Arabidopsis thaliana: one gene and its partners. The protein of the gene in region 2 interacts with the protein of the main gene of each other region in a pairwise test. Each region holds a gene or a part of one and is shown on either strand. Other genes may lie near its edges.

Region 1 (7,825 bases), on a different chromosome or scaffold from region 2:
AGAGGACATAGAAGGAAAATGTATGAAAGGTAGGGATAGTTTGGTAATTTTACAAGGGTTGTTAGATGGAAAGAGATCGTGTAAAGATGATGAAGAGAGAAGAGCTAAAGAAAGGTATGAAGAATACGTGCGAATGAAGATACAATGGAGAGAGAATAAAGAGAGGAGAGAAAAAGCTCAAGACACAATTTGTATGATCTTTGGGTTCTCTATGTTTGTGCTTTTGTGGAGTTTTATTTTGTTAAGGTAAATAACTATAGAAAGGTACAAAAATACTTAAATGATCCAATAATACATACATTTCTTTGTCATCTTTTTTTTTTCGTTCTTTGAATTTGTAATAAAGAAAATTGTTGAGAAATATATACAAGATATTTGGTTAGAGAAGCATGACGTAATACTGATTTTTTTTTGGTGTTTTTTTGTTTGTTTATGATAGATAAGTTTTGAATATATATAGTCGTTAAAATGTCACTTTTGGACGTATTACCTAATCTGAAAACGAAATTGGTTAAAGAAATAAGTTGCGGTCGGAAATTAGTCAGTGAAGGAATTTGGCGGCCAAAGAAGATTTTTTGGTAGTTATGGAAATATTTTTAATAATTTTTTTAGTATAGATTAAAAATTATTGTTTCCGTTTGTTGCGAACGTGTGTGGGCTTAGGGCCCAATTCAGTTTGTTAGATTAGTAGGGGTTCTTTTCCGGCAGATTAGTGGGTTAGGGATTTATAGACTTGATGGTTTGGGTGAAGAAAAAACACAAATCAGTTTTTATGTTAACCAAACGGCAATATCCACAGGCAAACACACAACACATCTCATATTCATTGCCTGGATTGCAACTATGAGTATAGGTATGATCAAAATTTTGTAACCGCATTTCGAACCGTAACCAGACTGTTACTAAATCTGGTTAAAAACTGTAACCGATAACTGAAAAACAAATTAGTTACTATTAAAAAAAATACTAACCGTTAATTATTAGTAACTGTATCAAAATCGTTGGATAATCGTTGTAATTGTGTATATGCAAAGACAAAATATAGTTGTAATCGTGTATATGCAAAGACAAATATCGAATGTTTGGATAAAAATTGTCAAAAAGGTAAATAATAGATATGAAAAAATCTAAGCTAGAAAATAATAAGATTTTTTCTCAAACAAATATGTTGGAATGCTACATTGCTTGATATGAAGAAAATTTGGTGTACAATATACTTTTTCATCTTATTAAAAGCAATACAATATTTTGGGTAATTCTTAAGATTTCGCCTTCAATATTAACTATATTGTAATCATCAAATAACAATAACCATATATAATCATAATTGTTGTAACCGTAATCATTTTAATCATAGATAGTGGTTAAAGTTAAGGTTAAAAAATTTTATAACTGTAACTGATGGTTAATAAACCGTACCCGTAATAACCGTAACCATAATCATCTTACGTGAACACTAAAATTTATATCCATCACGTTTAGATTAATCACCCATCTTTCGAAGCAAATAAGTTCCAATATGAGCTTAGAGGACATAAAACTAGTTTAGAGAAAGTTACACGGATACAAATTTGGATATATAGTTTAGTTAGGATATGATTTTATTGATTTTATTATATATTTTAAAAATAACTAAAACGTTAATGATGACGTAAGCTAATAAAGTAATAGATTAGAAATTGCAATAAAAAAATATAATGTATTTAATAAAATAGATTCATCGACAAAAAAATAATAAAATAGATTCATATAAAACTTGTATTACACAAAAGAAAATATCTTGGCGCAAGATAATAAAATAATTACAAAGTGATTTAAATTCATTTTGATTGCCGTCAAAAACAAAAATTCATTTTGATAAGTTATTACACCCAAAAAAACAAAAACAAAAACTTATTGGCATGCGGGGTACAAACACCGAGGAAGATATCGAAACACGTGTTTAAAAATGAAGAGACGATTTATTAAGCATCAATGAGAGAACTTCAGAGCTGGGTTTGAGTTCTGTCCAATAATACATAACCACGTTATCATTTTTGTCCTTTACTATCTCATTACACTCTTCTGTTATTCGCCCAATTCTTACAGTCATTGTCCACGTCATCCTTTTTCCCTCTGAAGCCGCCAAATATCAAAAAACACAAAACCTTTACCCGAAGCAAAGTAGCTGCACACTTGCCATTTATAAGGCATGTTTCTTCATCTAAAGCAAAGTATTTTCGAGTTCCTGAGCCAAAAAGATCAAACAATGTCTAAAGAAGCTGAGATGTCGATCGCGGTGTCGGCTTTGTTCCCTGGTTTTAGATTCTCTCCTACTGATGTTGAACTTATCTCGTACTATCTTCGTCGTAAAATCGATGGTGATGAGAACTCTGTTGCTGTGATTGCTGAGGTCGAGATTTACAAGTTCGAGCCGTGGGACTTGCCAGGTTTTACTTCGGTTTTCTTTCTCTTTATGTTTACTTTGGTTCACTAATTTGAATGTTTGTGCCTATAAAACAGAGGAATCGAAACTGAAATCGGAGAACGAGTGGTTTTACTTCTGCGCGAGGGGGAGGAAGTACCCGCACGGGTCACAAAGCCGGCGAGCCACACAGCTAGGATATTGGAAAGCGACCGGTAAAGAGCGGAGTGTTAAATCCGGGAACCAAGTTGTTGGAACCAAGAGAACGCTTGTATTTCATATCGGTCGGGCTCCTCGTGGCGAGAGAACGGAGTGGATTATGCATGAATACTGCATCCATGGAGCCCCACAGGTTCTTAAAACTTTCATTTTGAATAGGTTGAGTTTTAATGTTTTGAGATATATTGAAATTTGGATTTCACAGGATGCATTAGTGGTGTGCCGGTTAAGAAAAAATGCTGATTTTCGGGCTAGTTCGACCCAAAAAATGGAGGATGGTGTTGTGCAAGACGATGGCTACGTTGGCCAAAGAGGTGGTTTGGAGAAGGAGGACAAATCCTACTATGAATCTGAGCATCAGATACCAAATGGTGACATCGCAGAATCATCAAATGTTGTTGAGGTCAGCTTGCTTTTGAGGAATGTGTCTTTTAACGATGTTTAATACTGGTAAAATTATCCGCTCCAATCTTAATCGAAACCACATTAAATTCAATATAGTTCCGAAAACAGAACCGATTAAGAAACTAAAACCAAACCAACACCATAGTACCATACTATAACGGATTCATAGTACATTAGATTTCACTAAAGTTGTTATTTTACTAAAGCAGATTCTAAACTTAAAACGTAACAAACCAATATATCCAATGTTTGGTTTTTATTTTGGCTACTAATATTATAACTCAATAGACTAAACCAACACTTGGGCTGAACATCCTTAGTTTTCTTGTACTGGTAGAGTTTAGAGTTTGTAACTGAAGTTGATCTCTTTCTATTGCGATGCAGGATCAGGCCGATACCGATGATGATTGTTACGCCGAGATTCTGAACGATGATATAATAAAGCTCGACGAAGAAGCGTTGAAAGCTAGCCAAGCGTTTCGACCAACTAATCCAACTCATCAAGAAACAATATCAAGCGAGTCATCGAGTAAGAGGTCAAAATGTGGTATAAAAAAAGAATCAACGGAAACAATGAATTGTTACGCTTTGTTCAGGATCAAGAACGTTGCCGGAACCGACTCCAGCTGGAGATTCCCGAACCCGTTCAAAATCAAGAAAGATGATAGCCAGAGATTGATGAAGAATGTTCTGGCCACTACTGTTTTCTTGGCTATCTTATTTTCTTTCTTTTGGACTGTATTAATAGCTAGGAACTAAAGCTAGTTACGACATACATATTATTTATACATAAATAAATATAGTATTTGGTCTATGGCAATATGGCATGTTGAGCTAGTCTTAACAATTATTCAAACTTGTGTACAAACCAAAATTTTTATGGAAAAGAGAATATTTTCGGATAGTAAACCTTTATAATCTGGGTGAAAGCTTTGGGAAAGAGATGATAGTTCCGTGAAAATAGAGACAACAAATTTCACATATAGTAAATGTGAATAATACCACCATTTCCTTAAGTTTTGCTGTTTGTTGTATTAGAGATTGCAAAGTGATATTCTTAGTTATATACAATTGTAATAAATTATACAAAATCCATAAGTAAAATAAATTATTTTAGACTATGTTTAGATATACAAAAGTTTCAGTTCAAAATATAAACGCCTGAGAATCAAACAAATGTTGTTTGTAGTTTTTTATATTTATAAAATAGTCTAAAAATATTTTTCTTACTTATGGATTTTTTATACTATATTAAAGTTTTATATATGTAAAAGATTACTCTGGAACCTCTAATACAACAAATGGTATACCTTCAGAAAAAAATAAAAAATAATTGTGTGTCATACAATAAATAAAAATAATAAGGTGAAAAGATTTGCTTTCTGTTTTTTTTGGTGGCTGAAAAAAACAATGGCGATGATGCTTCTGCAAATTCCTCCTTCGTCTTCCTTGTTGAACACCAGAAACCTTCAAATCCGATTCTTCCACTCTTCAGTTTCAGCTTCCTCGAAGAAATTCAGATGCAGAGCCGTCCGTGAGAAGGCGGAGGACATTGATAAGAACATTTCGCCGCCGTCTTCTTCTCCTCCTCCTCCTTCCGCCGAAGAAGTTACCAAGAAATATGGCCTTGAAGTTGGTCTATGGAAGGTAAAATCAATTCGATTGCGCAATTTCTCGTTTTAATTCGTAATCTAAAATTGATGATTCTATCGCTATGGAAGCTTTAAGTGTAAGTAAAATAGTGTTTTTGGATGAACATGTGAGGACATATGATTGTTTCTGAGCTGAATGATAGGCTAATTCAGAGCAATTTTGGTATTAGTAGAAGCTATTGAAGCTTTAAGTGTAACTAAAATGGTGTTTTGTATGATTATGTGAGCAATTTTGTAGTTGTTGAAGCTATGGAAGCTTCTAAGGGTACTAAAATGGTGTTTAGATGATTATGTGAGTAGATATGATCGTTTTCGTGGTAGTTGTAGAAGTTATGTAAGCTTTTAACTATGCTAAAATGGTGTTTTTTTTTATCAACAAGTGAGCATATGTGATTGGTTAGTTTGGAGCATTTTTGGAAGTTGTAGAATCTATGGAAGTTTTTGTGTAGTAAAATGGTGTTTTGGATGGACTTGTGATTAGATATTAAGCTCTAAGGATGATGAAGGAAGTGATGGAGACAATAAGAAGAAGAAATCAAAAACAGATGAGGCTAAAGAGTTACTTGCAAAGTATGGTGGTGCTTATCTCGCTACATCTATTACTCTTTCTCTCATTTCCTTCTCACTCTGCTATGTCCTTGTGACTTCCGGTGTTGATGTTCAAGCTCTTCTTCTAAAGGTTACTACTTTCACTTCTTGATCATACTAAGTTTATGTTTTCTTGATCTTGGGTTGAGTAAAGCTGATTTTGATGTTTTGTGTTTAAGGTTGGGATTTCGACGAATGAGACAGGAGAGAAAGTAGGAGCCTTTGCTTTGGCTTACGCAGCGCATAAAGCTGCATCTCCGATAAGGTTTCCGCCTACAGTGGCTTTGACTCCTATTGTAGCCAATTGGATTGGGAAGAAAGTGGACAAGGAGAAGGATGATGACAAGTAGCTTACTTTGGAGGTATTATAATGTAGATGTTCTATATATTACTTGATAATCAACATACATAATCCTGTACAATCCTCACTTCTCTACCTTGTATGTACAAAAAAGATTGAAGCATATCTGAATATGATGATGAGTTAGAAAGATACAGAACCAAAGAGTGGCAGAATCCAAGTTGTGATATAGTTTTAGACTTGTCTATTTAATATGTGGTTGGTTGGAAATTACGACTTCACGATTCACTAACCTCTAGACATTTGGTAAGTGGGAGAAGTAGTTGTCAAATGGTTGGGAATGATCTCTGTGATCCAGAGCATATGACCTCGATCGTTTTGGTGATGCATTTTAACTTGTACTCTAGAACCTCATTATCTCGGCCCATCAAAATATGAAAACATTGGGCCGTAACAATTGGGCCGTAATCATCTATACCATCTATAGTTAATTGGATCTTTTTATCTCCTCCCTTCCTCTTTCACTTTCTTCCATGGATTACTAAATTCCTTAATCCTGGGAAAATCACACCAATCAACTTTTGTGAATTGTAACCCTAATCGATTCTACAGCGAAATCTACCTATTTCATGCTTGGGTTTGATTAGTGTTTTTCCAGAATCTGGGACTTCGCAGGAATTGCGCTAATTTTCAATCGATTTTGCAGAAGTTTGTTGCTCCTGGAATAGAAATCGAAGATGAAGAAGTACGGATTGCAAATCAGAGCTCCTTCCCAGAAAAAACAATCATCATCTCGACCTCCACTTCGACCCGCTTCAATATTTGATGAAGAAGAAGATCACGACGTCGAGAAGGAGATTTCTCGTCAAGCAACAAAGACCAAAGCTCATAAAGAAGTAAGCTTTTTTCCTCCACTGACTCGAGTTCTTGTTTCTTATATTTCCTTCAATTTGATCTGCTTGATAAGTGATTGTGTGTTTTAGATTGAGGAGCAGCATAAGAAAGCCTTAGAGGAGGATCCTTCTGCTTTTTCATATGATGAAGTTTATGATGATATGAAACAGAAAGCTGTTCTTCCTCGAATGCAAGATCGTGAAGAACGCAAGGTAATGTTTATCTCTTAGAGAGCTTAAGACTTGAAGCTTCTGTAGCTTAGGGAATCAAAATCTATGTTTCCATGTTCTTAAGAGGAATCTATGATCTGTGTCGGGCTTGGTTTATCATATGATTGAAGTATAGGAAGCCATAACTTAGCTGGATTTTCTTATTACCCTTAGAAACCACCAAAATCTTGATATCCTGCAATACCCTAACAACTACCAGCCTATAACCCATGGCTACATATAGTTACCAAAAAGTGTAAAGCTTAGTTACTTTGTTTTAGTTAAGTAGAGGTGAAGTTTCTGAGCCTCTACATGCGTCAGTTTTAGTAGTTTCTTATGGTGTTACATTCTCTGTAGTTGGGGCACTTTAATTAGGTTTCAGAATGACTTATTGGATTGCTTATGTTTCATTTAGTTTTCTTTTTCTAATTGCAGCCAAGGTATATACAGAATTTGATGAAACAGGCAGAACGTAGAGAGAAAGAACATGAGATAGTTTATGAGAGAAAGCTTGCGAAAGAGAGGGAGAAAGACGAACATCTTTTTTCGGATAAAGAAAAGTTTGTTACTGGCGCTTATAAAAGGAAACTTGAGGAACAAAAGAAATGGCTGGCAGAAGAAAGATTGCGTGAACTTCGTGAGGAAAGAGATGATGTAAGTTCTGTTTCCTTGTTCATTTTATTTCATGTTTGTGTTTCTATCTCTCTCGTCTATTAAACTAGTACTTGCTAGGATAGCTGAAGTCCTATCTTTGTCCTTTTACGTTTCTGTCTTAAGTAGCTTTGGTTTGGGAACTGTGTCAAGGTAGTTTGCATGTGGTGGCTTTTAGGACATGATGGGTGGGTCTAGAAACCATTTTCATGTCTCTGTATTAGCAATGGGGAGATATATAGCATATAGCTTTGGTAAAATTAAAGTGATTTGTTTTTATAGCTATTAATACTCATGTCAGCTCTTTTCCTTTGTTTTCATCTTCTGTTAGGTTACTAAGAAGAAAGATTTGAGTGATTTCTACTTCAACATTGGAAAAAATGTCGCTTTTGGAGCTCGAGAAGTCGAAGCTAAAGAGGCAGAGAAGCTCGAGGAACAAAGAAAGGCAGAGAAGCTCGAGGAACAAAGAAAGGCAGAGAAGCTCGAGGAGCTGAGAAAAGAA
Region 2 (8,279 bases):
TTCATATGTCGATTTAGGAATTAATATGGTAAAATTTGCCTATCTAGTAGACCTTGTTCTAAATTGACACCATTTAAATTTTAAAACCTTTAGTAAATTTCTAGGGCAACAAATAAAGTCATCAAGTTTATGGCCCATTTTCATTAAACGAGATCCATACATTTTCAAATGGCCTCCGTAGAAGAAAGAGTCTGGAGACTCTGGATCATGAACTAATAATCTCCCCTAATTTTCGTTTCTCTACACTATGGCCCAAATATTATTGGTATTTAAATTAGCCACCCCCATAAAATAGTTCCTTAACTTTCGTTGCTCTACACTACAGCCCAAACATTCTACCCCCAAAACTACTCTAAATCACTAGGCCCGTTAGGCATGTAATTTGTTAATTAAAGAAAACATTTATCCAAAAAAGAAGAAAAAAGGTTTGTCTGGTCAACCAATTCCAGTTTCGCGAGCTACAAGTAACCTACTAACCTCCATTGTTGTTTGCTCTTTAATGATTTAGTATAACTGATTTTCTGTTATTCGTCTTTCTTACAAAGTACAACATCAGTTATTGCGATTCGATACACAATTAATACGATTCGATACGTTGATTCTTGAAATTGATATATTAGATCACAATATCACGCCCACAAACATTTTGATAGATAAATTATTGTTATATGATGTATTTGATCATAATTTCCCCCCCATAAATCTCTGACGTACCCACATGGCCACATGCTACAATATAACTCTGGTTTATCTCTGCCACTATATATCGTGATCGCTTCATCTATCTTTGCCAAAAACAATAATTTTGATATCTTTGACCTCTAATCTCTCTCAATGGCTGTATCATTTCAAACCAAGAACCCTCTAAGACCCATCACCAACATCCCAAGAAGCTATGGTCCAACGCGTGTACGTGTCACATGCTCTGTTACTACCACCAATCCTCAGCTTAATCATGAGAACCTTGTAGTTGAGAAACGCCTTGTGAATCCTCCTCTTTCCAAGAACAACGACCCGACTCTGCAATCGACATGGACTCATCGGTTATGGGTTGCAGCGGGAAGTACAACCATATTTGCCTCTTTCGCTAAATCTATCATTGGAGGGTTTGGTTCTCATCTTTGGCTCCAACCAGCTTTAGCGTGTTATGCAGGGTACGTGTTTGCTGATCTAGGCTCCGGTGTTTACCACTGGGCCATTGATAACTATGGTGGTGCATCAACACCTATAGTTGGAGCCCAACTTGAAGCGTCTCAGGGTCATCACAAGTATCCCTGGACAATCACAAAACGTCAATTCGCCAACAATTCATACACTATCGCTCGAGCCATAACTTTTATAGTTCTACCACTAAACCTTGCAATTAACAATCCTCTGTTTCATAGCTTTGTGAGCACATTTGCATTTTGCATTTTGTTAAGCCAACAATTCCATGCTTGGGCTCATGGAACCAAGAGCAAGCTTCCACCTCTCGTGATGGCGTTGCAGGACATGGGACTGCTTGTCTCACGGAAAGATCACCCGGGACATCACCAAGCACCGTATAACAGCAACTACTGTGTAGTGAGTGGGGCATGGAACAAAGTTTTGGACGAAAGTAACTTATTTAAGGCATTGGAGATGGCGTTGTTTTTCCAGTTCGGTGTGAGACCAAACTCGTGGAACGAGCCAAACTCTGACTGGACAGAAGAAACCGAGACTAATTTCTTTACAAAGATTTAAAGAATATCTGAATATGTATGAGTGTGTCGAATAAAGAGCATGTATTAGGTTTAAGTATCAGATCTTGTAAGCTGATTAAACCTCCATTGTTGATGATCTTTCGTAAGCATGCAAACTTCAATAACCTGAACTACTACTTTTTACAAATAACCTTTCTAGTCTCTTTTTACATGGCGGAAACATTATTCATATTTTTAAGAAAATCTACTAGTACAGATTACAATATACAGAGTATACCATGAATATGATGAACCAAAACAACATAGCTTGTTACAAAAATAGCTTACAAAGCCTTCTTCTTTGTGTGCTTAACACAAATCAAGGCATAAACAGGAATGTTGACAAGTCCAAGAGAGACCAAAAGCCAGAAGAAGTAGTCAAGATGTCCTTTATTAAGGTCGTCTGGAACCCAACCATCTTTACCTCCAAGAGCTGTGAAATACGCCACAAGAGTGAGGATCAACGAGCTCAGGTAGCTTCCGACTGCGGTATTGAGTAGTGCCAAAGCGCTGCATACACTTCTCATTGCATCAGGAGATTCATCATAGAAAAACTCAACTCGACCAATGAAGAAAAAGACCTCTGCTATTCCCATTAGTATGTACTGAGGGATCTGCCAAAATATGCTCATTGCAACAAAGTCTTGAGCAAGCTGCAACCGCACTGTCTCAACAATAGCTGCAGCTGCAATGCTTAGGACAGAGAGAAAAAGACCAATGCCCATTCGCTGCAGATCAGTTAACCCTTTTGGTATCCCTGTGAACCGTCTTACAAAGGGTACGAGGAAACGGTCATATATTGGGATGGATATGAGCACGATAAGTGTGTCGAAAACCCCGAATGAAGCAGGAGGGATCTCGAAAGAACGGATTATTCGGTTCATGGACCGTCCTTGTTGCACGAATAGAGTGGAAATCTGTGAATATAGGACCGAGTAGACGATCCCCGAGGCCCAGATTGGAAACATACGGATTAGAGTCTTAACTTCTTCGACTTGAGTTACAGTACATAGCTTCCATGGGTTGGAAAAAGCACCGGATTTAGATTCATATTCTGAGATAACAGCAGCTTTGTCAAGAAACCTGCACAGATATAAAAACAAAGGTTTATGTTCCGATGAACATTTCCAAAAGCTCAAAATGAGAAACTGAAAGGGGACAGGTATTTTCTTGTAACCGTCAGTGTGTTGAATCTTCCTGCTTCCAGCAATCATGGAGTTTTTCTCTCGTGTTTCATACAGAAATGAGATATCTTCAGGGAGATTAAGCTTCAATTTACGGTATGCAGCTACAAGAACTTGGCAAACTCTAGTAATCGGACTACCTCCCGGTTTCTGAAACCGATAAAGCGGAGTTCCAATGAAGAAACTCGCAATAGAGACTCCCATAAACACGGTGGGAATCAAGAAACCGAGTCCCCACCCGACATTTTCTTGAACCCAAACTAACAAAGTGGATGAGATAAATGAACCAATGTTGATGGAGAAGTAAAACCAGTTAAAGAAAGAAGCTTTTCTAACTCGTTCCCTCGGGTCAGTATCATCAAACTGATCAGCACCAAAAGATGATACACATGGTTTGATACCTCCAGTACCAAGAGCAATAAGGTAAAGCCCTGTAAAGAAAACCGCATACTGAACCGTTGTTGCTGGTGAGCATAGAGCCGCAGCAACGCCAGCACATGCCGCTGGCTTTAAAACCGGAAGTGAAGCCGAGAGTGTCAACAAAGCCATTCCCTAAATTCAAAAACCAAGATTAACTAACTATGCAAATCACCTAAACAAACAAATGCAAGTATCCAAAGAGATTGATTAGTCTTACAATGAAATAAATAGCAGAGAAAGAAGCAATGGTCCAGTATCTTCCCCAGTAAGAATCAGCTATAACAGCTCCAATGAGAGGTGTGATATAGCAAGTTCCTTGCCAAATCATAACGTCACTAGCTGCAGAAACATTGGACTCGTGTAATTCACTTGTGTAGTAAGTGATTAGATTCTTGGCAATTCCATAGTAAGCTAATCTCTCACAACATTCGTTTCCTGTACATTGAGACCAAATTTGGAGGTTATATATAAGTACTGATAAAACAAGAATTTTTTTTTTATCTTTTTTTTTTGTTTACCAAGAATAAAGGGACAAGCTTTCCAGTTTCCTGTCTTCTTCTTCGATGGTGGGTTTCCATAAATGTCAATAGAACCATCTTCAGCTGTAGAAGACAATCCGGTCAAGTGATTGTTCACTTCCTCCTGAGATATTCAGACAAAAAAAAGATTGGATTTTTGTGGTTAGAATCTTGAACATAGTGGATTCTAAAAATTGAAAGTATAGCTATAATTAGAAAGATGTCAAGGGGTAAATAAATGGAGAGAAATTGGCAAACGCAAATTGATAGATTTAAGTCGAAACCTGTGTAAGAAGAGATTCTTCAACGTCAAGAATTCTCCTTTCGTCTTCTTCATTCGAATTCACCATTTTAAAGCTATTGAGAAAAGCAAATAGATTACTGGAACTCATCAAAAACGCTAAATAATCCGATTGCTTGCACAACTCTTGGTGGTCGGTCCCATTGATGGCCCAGTATACCAATTAAACTAAAGGAATTGTTTTTATTAAATATTTTTAAATGATCAAAATTGACTCTTCTTTGCATTTTTTTTAGGAGACAACTCCAACAATAGCACACCAGAAAATTAGAATAGTCTAATTATTAGAATACCAAAAGTAGGTAGGCATGAGGTTAATCTATTTAAACCGTGGATATCCGTATCCGGTTTTTGAACCAAACAAACGGATAGCCGGCCAGATATACGAATAGTTAAACGACGGATACAAATAATCCTAGAATTTAGGCCGGTTAATAGATATCTAGATATAACGGGTTTGATTGATTTTGAAAAAAAAAGATCATTTAAAAATATTTAATAAAACGATTCTTTTACTTTTTATCAAAATGATCAAAATTCAAAATTGACTCTTTTCGCATTTTTGTTTGGTAGGAGACAACTCCAATAATAACACACCAAAAAATTAGAATAATATTTATAGTCTAATTATTAGTAGACCAAAGTACGCATGAGGTTAATATATTTTACCACGGATTTTTATCCAAACAAACGGATAGCCGGCCAACATATGCAGATAGTAAAACGACGGATAGTCCGAATAAAGATATAGATACGAATAATCCGAGAATTTGAACCGGATAACGGATATCCGGATATATTTAAGTCCATATTCGATTTTATAACTTAAAAGTCTTATGATTTCATTCTTCAAGTGTTAAAGCTCAAAAAAAAACTTAAACCCAACTTTTTAAGTTGTTTTTATTTTATTTTCAATGTTAATAAATAAATCATATGCCAAAAAAAGTAAAAGTAAACCAAAACCATAAGAAGAATTTAAGAAGTTGATTAATCTCTTTTTTCAGATTTTAAGGATAATTTAAGTAGGGAAATTACTTGAGGTTTTTGAACTTTTTGAAGACCCAAAAAGAAAGTGAATGCAATCCCATATTGATTTGAAAGTTAATGCATTAAAGACCATCCCCAACCGGAGGCTTTTAGGTGAGGCCCTAACAATAAAAAAAGTAAAAAATAATCAAAAGTTAGTAGGAACATGAGAGAGAAACTCTTAAAACCCGTAAGTAAGGGACGAGCTCACAAACAAAATAACACATGTATTTTTATTACTGGTCTATCTGTATTAAAAAAATAGATTATAACTATTAAAATAAAATCTATTTTTTTGTCTTTTTAGAAATTTTTAGGGCCTTAACCGTTGGACATGCTCTAAGTTGCCCATGGTATTGATTTGGTACGAGTTAATGCAATCACCGTCTTTGTTTTAAAAGAAAGTTATACTTTCCACGATACGAAACATTTATGTTGGAAAATTATTTTAAATTTTGACTGTTAGGTGATTTTGTAGCTATACTTTCGCATAGTCATCCATCTGAATCAACACACGTTAAACGGCTCAAGTGTGCATGATTCTTGTGGACATTGCATCTCTGAAATTTCAATGAAGCGAAGAAGAGTCATTATTTGTCACTATAAGATAATGAATGATTATTAAAACGTATAAAACTCTCTTCACATCTATGTATTTCTCTCTAAGTAAGTACAAAATACACATTATTTATATACATGTGGGAATGATATTAGGAACACAATCTCAAAGCTACACAAACAAAATATTATCTTAGATTATAAAAAAAAATTAGAGCCAAAAACGATGAATATCATCAAGTTACTTGTGGTGGTATTCATTGCAGCTTTGAGTGGTAATGTTGGAGCACGTAAGATCGGAGGAATGGCCAATAATACCAAACTCATGAATAAAAAACAGCCAATTGGAAACTCTACTAACAATGTTACTGGTGGAGCCACAAATGGCACCAAAGCTCCTCTTAGTGGTGGCATTAGAGGAGTTGCTCCGTCTCATGTAACAGAAGGCGGATCCACTAATGGCACTAAAACTCCTGTTATTGGTGTCATTGTAGGAGTTTCTCCCATCAAAGAAAGTGGAGCCACTATTGGCACCAAAGCTCCTCTTAATGGCGTTTTAAGACCAGCTCCTCTACGTGAAGGTGAAGCAACTCTTGCCACTAACAACACTGGAAAACCTAGTGTTTCCGTTATGGGAGTCGGTACCAACGTACAAAGCGAAGTTCTTTTTACTACTAAAAACTTTGAAACGAGATTTGTCATCAATGCAAAGGTGAGTGAAGATGGTAGCAACGGTGGGAGTGGTGCAAAGCCTTGAAACATTATAAAGCGTAAGTGATCATGCTTAGGCTTATATGTACGTATAAATATTCTCTACAAAGTCACATTAATCTCTTTTGTATGACAAAACAAATAATTTAGAGATTGTGACTTTCTATTTCTTCATTTTAATTTTCAACATTATAAAAAGAGTTGGCTACCCGATACCCCGCAAAGGTTTAAAGTCTTATGTGTAAATCAAATATCAATAAATATTTCCATATTTTGTCTTTTGTAGGATTTTTTATTAGAACTTGTGTCAATAGCTTTGGTACAAGAAACTTGGACCGGGCGCCCTTTTGTTGTTGTAGATTTCTATCAATTTATAAGATTTTGTCATTTGAATTTACCATATTCAGGAAATTCTCGAGTGTAAAAAAACGTTATCTCTAGGTTTAAAGAACTTCATGAAGTTGCTAACTTAAATTGCTCGAAAAAATTCTGTGTGGAAAGTGAGAACAGGGGATTCTACAAGAAAACATTTTGTTTCCGACGAACTTAATGGTCGGAGAATTTCTAAATTACGAGGAACTTGAATACGCTTGAATAACCATTAACCAATATAATGCACCAAGAACCACATGTTCAAGTCTCGAAGATAATGTTTAGCATACCAAGAGATGACGTTGGAGTCTAATAAAAATATTTTTTAATACTGAAGAAAATTAATATAAGATCATAAATAATGCATTTATTATATGTTTTAAATAAAGCCATTACAGACAAAAGAGTAGCATTTCATAGTAATATTTAGAGGTGATTTTATTTATGAACACAAAAGAGATTGTGAGATTGTAGTTTTAAGGATATTATTAATAGGATTGATCAGCAATATGCATGAGAGCACCTCCCGCTCAATTCTTGTTCCCTTTGCGGCCTTTCTTCTCAGAGGAAGTGCCGTTCACAATGGAGCCGGAACCTACTGTACCTTTTGCACGTGCAGCAGCAGCTTTCCGGTTCACTGCAGCTGACGCATTTCCTTTAGCGTAAGAACCACTTTTAGAAGAAACTTTTGCCTTGCGACCCTTGGCAATGACTTGTCCGTTAGTATATGTGGAGCAACCTTCGTTGCATTGGCCCCTGGACCTTTGGGATTGTTAAAACCACTAGTATAGCTAGAGACGTAAGAGGTGCTGTCAGTTGTGCCATAAGCAGAAAGCTGAGCTCCAATGCCTTTGGTAGTAGTTTTTGGAAGAGAGGTTCCTAATTTGGTCTCCTTGGACACATCTTCGACCTGCCTCACGGTGAGTTAACTCGTACGTTATAAGCATAAAGCATTTAACTATATTGGTATCAAAATCTACATTCATGTTAATTCAAAATAATATTTTTCGTCTACCAAAATATATCCATATAAACATGCGATTGATCTTGAGCAAGAGAGGTGTTAAAATATCTTGGTATGACTATTAGTTGAAATTTGACTAATGAAATTTAAGAATGTATATTTATTGTAAGAAATGCTCACGTATCTCTTTTGATAAAGAATGCTCACGTACCTTAATAAATACATGTGCATCGAGTTTGTGTGTATATATAGATGGCTATGATCTGGGAAGAAGCACACAACACAACTCACCACAAACATACAATTTAATTCCAAAAGATAAAAACAATCAAAAGATGAATGCCACAAAGTTTGTTGTGCTTCTCGTGATTAGCGTTTTGTGTGCCATTGTCACCGCAAGGCATGTCGAAGAAGTGTCTAAAGAGACCAAATTAGGCACCTCTCTTCCAAAAAGTACTACCAAAGGCATTGGAGCTCAGCTTTCTGCTGCTGGTATTACTTCCA
Region 3 (7,451 bases), on a different chromosome or scaffold from region 2:
TTTTGCAAAAGAACCCTCCATTTTCTATTTTTTATTGTAAGTTCACAATATTTATTTGTTGAGAAAATATGAACCTTTGATCTCTCTAAAAAATTTGAACTTTTTAACCAATTGTGCAAGTATTTTTGGGTTAAACTACAATATTACGATTACTATTTAAAAATCGTTCAAACGAAAAATCAGAGATCGATTTACTAAGAAATCAATGGTAAGATTGTTGAACATTTCATATGTGTGATAAACTGATGAGAATTTGGGATGCAAAGCAAATTACTTTTTCCTGAGTGAATTTTCTTTGAAAATATCTCTCGTAGAAAAATAAACAGCAATCGATCTTTGCATTGCATTGGTCCTTTTCTAGACCAATTACACCGAAGAAACACAAGGTTGTCTATGTTCCTCTTCAATACTCTCTAAGTAAATTTCTATACGACGTAGTGTTGTCTATGTGGTGGGTAAAGAATTAAAGAACCCACTAGATTTTCCTTATCCTTTTGACGTAGTGTTTTCTATTCATTCATCCACATAATGATACCGTATACTATGCTTTCACATCGCAAAAGACAAGTACAATCTAATATACGAGATATGCGTACACTGTACACATACTCTGCTGAATGAGTGTATTCACAACAGTGTCTTCACGCGTTTACTTGACAAAATGTCATGTGCTGATGTGACCATTCGATGATTTTGTTTTAATTTTTTTTTCTTTCCATTATTAACAATCACGTTTTTTATTGGTCGAGTTCAATTTATGGAAAGGATAAGGAAATCTTGTAGGTGATGCGTTTACTTGACATCATACAATATGACGTCATGTACATGGGCTTATGTTTTACTCTTTATAAATCACCACGTTAATAATTTCACTCTTTCAAACTCTCACTTGAGTAAACAGCAGTTACGAAAACGCAATGAAGATTCATAAACTCTGTTTTCTTGCTCTGCTCTTAGCTCACACCACTTCCGCCGTCAACCTCAACCTCAACCTCAAAACCTCAGAGTTGGTCTTCCTTGGAGACGCTGAGCTCGGTCCTGCTTCTGATGGCGTCAGCCGCTCCGGAGCTCTCTCCATGACACGAGACGAGAACCCATTCTCTCACGGCCAAAGTCTTTGGTCCACTCCAGTCCCTTTCAAGCCTTCTTCAAACTCTTCTTCTCCTTATCCATTTGAAACTTCTTTCACTTTCTCCATCTCTACTCGCATCAAACCCGCCCCTGGTCACGGCCTTGCTTTTGTTGTCGTCCCTTCCATTGAAAGTGACGGTCCTGGACCCGCTGGATACCTCGGGATATTCAACAAAACCAACAATGGCAACCCCAAAAACCACATCTTTGCTGTCGAATTCGACGTTTTTCAGGACAAAGGTTTTGGAGACATTAATGATAACCATGTCGGGATTAATATCAACTCTGTTACTTCCGTTGTTGCTGAGAAAGCTGGTTATTGGGTTCAGACAGGAATTGGGAAAATGAAACACTGGTCGTTTAAAGAGTTCAAGCTGAGTAATGGAGAGAGGTACAAGGCTTGGATTGAGTATAGAAACTCCAAGGTTACAGTTACTCTCGCGCCAGAAACCGTTAAGAAACCTAAGAAGCCTTTGATCGTTGCCCATTTAGATCTCTCTAAGGTTTTTCTTCAAAATATGTACCCCGGTTTTTCTGGTGCCATGGGCCGTGGCGTTGAACGTCATGACATTTGGAGTTGGACCTTCCAGAACAGTGCCAAGAGAATCTAAACCGGTTCTGTTCGGTTATGCTTTTTCTAATGTATCAGAAAGTTGTAACCGGAATGAATAAAATAGCAAATTTTGTTGTTTTAATTGTTTGTATTTGACTATTTACACAGTATCCTATCCTGCTAGGACCTGTGCACTTGTTGTTATGTTGATTCTTCATTCTAAAAGATTCTAAGTAGAGACCTGACACACAGAAACATCACAAGACTCGTTTCAAGAATCAAAAATTGATGCAAAGCAGAGTAGTTACTTAGAGTAGAATTTCAATGGAAACATCTCATAACATTACACAGATCAGTGTTTGACTAAGCAGTGTGATAAAAATTCAAAACTTCATGTCGATCTGCGGTGGGAACAGTCTGCCACGGTGATTGAATATCATGAAATCCGAATTATCTGGTAAAAACACCGCCCTGCAAATTTTTTGAAAGAAACCAGTTAACAGGAGATATTCACTTTATCTAGCAAAAGCCAAACTCAAAACCAATTCAAGAACCTAATGTACAAAAAGGTAGGGGAGAGGCTGCGACATAGAAGGAACCAAAGTGGGTCTAAAGAGCCAATGAAACAAATATAAACTGATTGAATTAGCCAGGAGCAGAACTGGTTAAAGCTCTTGAAACCCATAATCGTAACTGGACCAAATATAAACTAGAAAATGTCCCTTTGAATGTCCTGCATTTTAGAAAACCTTAGCTGCACAAAGTATTAAAGAAACATCAATGTTTGACCTAGAACATCTCTAGACGACAGTTTCTTATCAATAAACATGAGTCTTTGGTGGTCATTCAATCATCGGGAAATATAATAACTACCAAATTTCCATGTTTCAGATTGATAAACACTGATGCACAACAGAGAGTTAAAGAGACATCAAAACTAGACCCTCGAAACATCTCTAGAGCACAAGTTCTTTGAATCAATTGATTAACAACACATCCGTAAACCTTCTCAGTCAAAAGAAAACATATTCACTAGAAACACCCATGATTAAACTGAATAATTGAACCAAATCTAGCCAGAAGATGCTTCTATAAGACCCGTAGTAACTCTACACCAAGTTCAACAAAGTACGAACAGAGAAAAATTCAATAGTAAAAACACTCACTAGATAACATGAATTCAGATTGATTAACACTGATGCAAAACAGAGAGTTCGAGAGAAACATGATCACAAACCTGTTTTCATCAGAATCCGGATGGATCGAGAGAAATTTACCAGGGAAAGTCAAAGCAGCCCACATACACAGAGCTAGTCCAATGATCAACTCCAGAATAACCTTAAATAAATCCAATCATGATTCATATAAAAGCATAATCATTGCTGATATAATTCAAACACAATTGAGGAAAAGAGAAACCGTTATCATTATATACTCACATTAATCGGTGGTCGAGAAAACTCTTCCTCCATAATCTTCAACAATCCTCTATCTGAAATAAACAAGAGAAACCCAAATCAAGATCCTATCTCGAAAATTAAAGTAGATCTGACTCAATTGGAACTGGAATTGGATTGGGAAGAGTAGACATACATTGGATTGTTGAATAAGCGGCATGAGAAAGAATAAGAACGCCGAAAACTCCAACTAAGAACCCCAAATTCATCTTTAGAAGTTCTCTTTTTTAATTTTCTTCTTCTCTAAGTTGATTCCCGATCTGGATTTTCTCGTCGAGTATTCTCCGTCGAGAATCGAACTAGAATAGAAGACGATCAGTGGAGTTTAAAACGGCATGTAGTTATAATATCGCAAATCTCAAAGTGAAAACGGCGCAACGTCTAATATCGAAGAGACTAACAACGGCGCGTAGTTCTAGATTGATGATATCCTAGATTCCTATTAATCTTTTGTAACCCAAACTTTTTTTTAAGTAACTAATATTTTTAATTAGATGAAAGTTCAGTTAGTTTGATAACTTTTTTACAACAATAAGGGTTTATCTTTTGGGAAAATAATTATTTTTTCGTATAATAAATAATTATGAATATTTATTTAGAATTTCATATTGATGATATATTCATATGCAAACAAAAATTTCTGCAATTATTGAATTGAATCGTATGTTGATAACTTCGTATAAAAAAAACGGAAATCTATTTTAGAACAAAGAAATCAAATGGTAAGATATTAAATTTCTATTTATAAAAAAGTAAGAAAAACATGTAGCTTGCTTTGGTACCGCTACCTAAGAACCTTCTATTCCTTTCTTGTGTTTGCTAAAACCAGAAAGTAAAACTGTTATCCTCACCTCTCTTTTACTTTTATTTTCAACTTTCCCCCATAACGTTTTTAATAAACATTTACGTACCCTCGCCACACTATTAAAATAAGTTTAAAATTACATCAAATTTTTTAATTCTTCATATAGGTAGATTTTTGTTTTGATTCTCGATAAATCATATAATAATATAAATTAATTGATATGATGTTAAGGGAACATGGGTGTATTTATCACAACACCTAGTTTTTGGAACTTTTCAAGATAAACTTAAAAGTTAAGGGTCGCTTATTTTTCCAACAAGAAGGAAATCACAGAGCGTATAAAATCCCGAGTTCAGCTCCCTTGAGATCCCATTCATCATCATCATCATCATCACCAATCGATCTCTCTAGAAACAAATTTCCCAACTTCCTTCTTAGAGCTCTCTTGTCAGTTTAAGCTATCATTATGTCAAACGAACCGGAATCCTCCGACTCGTAAGTACTTAGATCTTTGATTTTTGTTTTCCGATCATAAAGTTTCGATTTTTTTACTTGGGTTTTTCGATATTGAGAATAGGGTTTTTTAGTTTGATCTCATCTGAAAGCTGATTTTGTTTGTCTTCCTGGGGTATTTGTTTCAGGAAAACTAAGAAGGATTTCAGTACTGCGATTCTAGAGAGGAAGAAGTCTCCAAACCGACTTGTTGTCGATGAAGCTATTAACGATGACAACTCTGTTGTCTCTCTCCATCCTACTACCATGGAAAAACTCCAGCTTTTCCGAGGCGATACAATTCTCATCAAGGTTAGGTTTTGTTCCTTATGTCACTATGTTAGGGTGTTTTGAGTTTAGACTTGGTTTGGATCGTCTGTGTCTTGACTGTATATCACGAGCATGTTGTAAACATATTCAGTTATGTTTTTTACTTTGTCTGATCTTGTAAACATATTCAGTTAGGGTACAACTTTTTTGTCTGAAGTTTTTTTTTTTGAGTTTAGAATTGGTTTGGATTGTTCTTTTTATCTCTGTGATTACTTACTTGATTGGGGTTTTGGATTTTCAGGGTAAGAAGAGGAAGGACACTGTATGCATTGCCCTCGCTGATGAAACATGTGAGGAACCCAAGATCAGAATGAATAAGGTTGTAAGGTCTAACTTGAGGGTTAGGCTGGGAGATGTTATTTCTGTTCACCAATGCCCAGATGTCAAGTATGGAAAGCGTGTTCACATCTTGCCTGTTGATGATACAGTTGAAGGCGTTACTGGAAACCTCTTTGATGCTTACCTGAAACGTAAGTTTGCTTTAATCTTTTGATTCTCTCTTTCATATCATAGTCTAGCTTGTCTTTTGGAGTTCGTGTTTTCTAAACTTATATTGTTTTTTTCACCAGCTTACTTTCTGGAGGCGTACCGTCCAGTGAGGAAGGGAGATCTTTTCCTAGTGAGAGGAGGAATGAGGAGTGTGGAGTTCAAAGTGATCGAGACTGATCCTGCTGAGTACTGTGTGGTGGCTCCAGATACAGAGATTTTCTGTGAGGGTGAACCAGTTAAGAGGGAGGACGAAGAAAGGCTTGATGAGGTTGGTTATGACGATGTTGGTGGTGTCAGGAAACAGATGGCTCAGATTAGGGAATTGGTTGAACTTCCCTTGAGGCATCCACAACTCTTTAAATCAATTGGTGTGAAGCCACCAAAGGGAATTCTGCTTTACGGACCTCCTGGATCCGGGAAGACTCTTATTGCTCGTGCTGTGGCTAATGAAACCGGAGCATTCTTCTTCTGTATCAATGGACCGGAAATCATGTCGAAACTAGCTGGTGAGAGTGAGAGCAACCTCAGGAAAGCATTTGAGGAGGCTGAGAAGAATGCCCCGTCTATCATATTCATTGATGAGATTGACTCTATTGCACCAAAAAGAGAGAAGACGAATGGTGAGGTTGAGAGGAGGATTGTCTCTCAGCTCCTTACGCTTATGGATGGACTAAAATCACGTGCCCATGTTATTGTTATGGGAGCAACAAATCGTCCCAACAGTATTGATCCGGCTTTGAGAAGGTTTGGAAGATTCGACAGGGAAATTGATATCGGTGTTCCTGATGAAATTGGACGTCTTGAAGTTCTTAGGATCCACACGAAGAACATGAAGCTAGCTGAAGATGTTGATCTAGAAAGAATCTCCAAGGACACGCATGGATATGTTGGAGCTGATCTTGCAGCTCTATGCACTGAAGCTGCCCTTCAATGTATCAGAGAGAAGATGGATGTGATTGACTTGGAAGATGACTCAATTGACGCCGAAATCCTCAATTCCATGGCTGTGTCTAATGAACACTTCCACACTGCTCTTGGAAACAGCAACCCATCCGCCCTTCGTGAAACTGTTGTGGAGGTTCCAAATGTCTCCTGGGAGGATATTGGAGGTCTCGAGAATGTTAAGAGAGAGCTTCAGGAGACTGTTCAATACCCTGTGGAGCATCCAGAGAAATTCGAGAAGTTTGGTATGTCTCCATCAAAGGGAGTTCTTTTCTACGGTCCTCCTGGATGTGGTAAAACCCTGTTAGCCAAAGCTATAGCAAACGAGTGCCAAGCAAACTTCATCAGTGTCAAGGGACCCGAGCTTCTCACAATGTGGTTTGGAGAAAGTGAAGCCAACGTCCGAGAAATCTTTGACAAGGCTCGTCAATCTGCTCCTTGTGTTCTGTTTTTCGATGAGCTAGACTCCATTGCTACTCAGAGAGGGAACAGCGCGGGTGATGCCGGCGGTGCAGCTGACAGAGTGTTGAATCAGCTTTTGACAGAAATGGATGGAATGAATGCAAAGAAGACGGTATTCATTATTGGAGCAACTAACAGACCGGATATCATAGATTCAGCTCTTCTTCGACCTGGAAGACTCGACCAGCTTATCTACATTCCTCTACCTGATGAAGATTCCCGTCTCAATATCTTTAAGGCCTGCTTGAGAAAATCTCCCGTCGCTAAAGATGTAGATGTTACTGCACTCGCAAAGTACACTCAGGGATTCAGTGGTGCTGATATCACCGAGATCTGCCAGAGAGCTTGCAAGTACGCCATCAGAGAAAACATCGAAAAGGTCAGTGATTTGATTACCTCCTGAAACATGTGATTAAGGAACCTTAAGTGCCAATTCGTTTTAATTGTTCTAATCTTGACCCTTTTTTGTGTGTTTTGTTCCTCAGGATATTGAGAACGAGCGTAGAAGGAGCCAGAATCCAGAGGCCATGGAGGAAGATATGGTGGATGATGAAGTTTCAGAGATTAGAGCTGCTCATTTCGAAGAGTCGATGAAATATGCAAGGAGAAGTGTGAGTGATGCTGATATTCGCAAGTACCAAGCTTTTGCTCAGACGCTGCAGCAATCCAGAGGGTTTGGATCTGAGTTCAGGTTTGACTCAACCGCTGGTGTCGGACGCACCACTGGTGTTGCAGCCGCCGATCCCTTTGCCACTTCTGCAGCTGCAGCTGATGACGACGATCTCTACAG

Evidence for each region. The genes of interacting proteins can lie anywhere in the genome.
Region 1: the proteins of PTR6 (region 2) and AT2G27290 interact in a protein complementation assay, tested with the Arabidopsis thaliana proteins (one large-scale study listed by BioGRID).
Region 3: the proteins of PTR6 (region 2) and AT5G03345 interact in a protein complementation assay, tested with the Arabidopsis thaliana proteins (one large-scale study listed by BioGRID).

What each region holds. Positions count from the first base shown.
Region 1 is NC_003071.7:11,676,379-11,684,203, reverse strand, and holds AT2G27290 (FAM210B-like protein, putative (DUF1279)), read left to right. Parts: upstream 1-4,284; 5' UTR 4,285-4,438; coding exon 4,439-4,675; intron 4,676-5,161; coding exon 5,162-5,359; intron 5,360-5,447; coding exon 5,448-5,618; 3' UTR 5,619-5,899; downstream 5,900-7,825. Other genes in the region: AT2G27310 (F-box family protein), read left to right, coding at 1-250; NTL8 (NTM1-like 8), read left to right, coding at 2,249-2,429, 2,503-2,756, 2,829-3,026, 3,413-3,787; AT2G27285 (nuclear speckle splicing regulatory-like protein (DUF2040)), read left to right, coding at 6,307-6,465, 6,553-6,675, 7,108-7,326, 7,655-7,825.
Region 2 is NC_003070.9:22,980,142-22,988,420, forward strand, and holds PTR6 (Major facilitator superfamily protein), read right to left. Parts: upstream 4,282-8,279; 5' UTR 4,236-4,281; coding exon 4,128-4,235; intron 3,968-4,127; coding exon 3,844-3,967; intron 3,761-3,843; coding exon 3,543-3,760; intron 3,458-3,542; coding exon 2,006-3,457; 3' UTR 1,804-2,005; downstream 1-1,803. Other genes in the region: AT1G62190 (Kua-ubiquitin conjugating enzyme hybrid localization domain-containing protein), read left to right, coding at 835-1,722; AT1G62210 (uncharacterized protein), read left to right, coding at 5,955-6,485; AT1G62220 (uncharacterized protein), read left to right, coding at 8,111-8,279.
Region 3 is NC_003076.8:810,095-817,545, reverse strand, and holds AT5G03345 (membrane magnesium transporter-like protein), read right to left. Parts: upstream 3,462-7,451; 5' UTR 3,351-3,461; coding exon 3,274-3,350; intron 3,177-3,273; coding exon of another isoform or gene 3,173-3,176; coding exon 3,124-3,172; intron 3,023-3,123; coding exon 2,831-3,022; 3' UTR 2,239-2,830; intron 2,156-2,238; coding exon of another isoform or gene 2,068-2,155; 3' UTR 1,927-2,067; downstream 1-1,926. Other genes in the region: AT5G03350 (Legume lectin family protein), read left to right, coding at 918-1,742; AtCDC48C (ATPase, AAA-type, CDC48 protein), read left to right, coding at 4,413-4,441, 4,588-4,750, 5,010-5,238, 5,338-7,040, 7,147-7,451. UniProt on the Arabidopsis thaliana protein: Mediates Mg(2+) transport.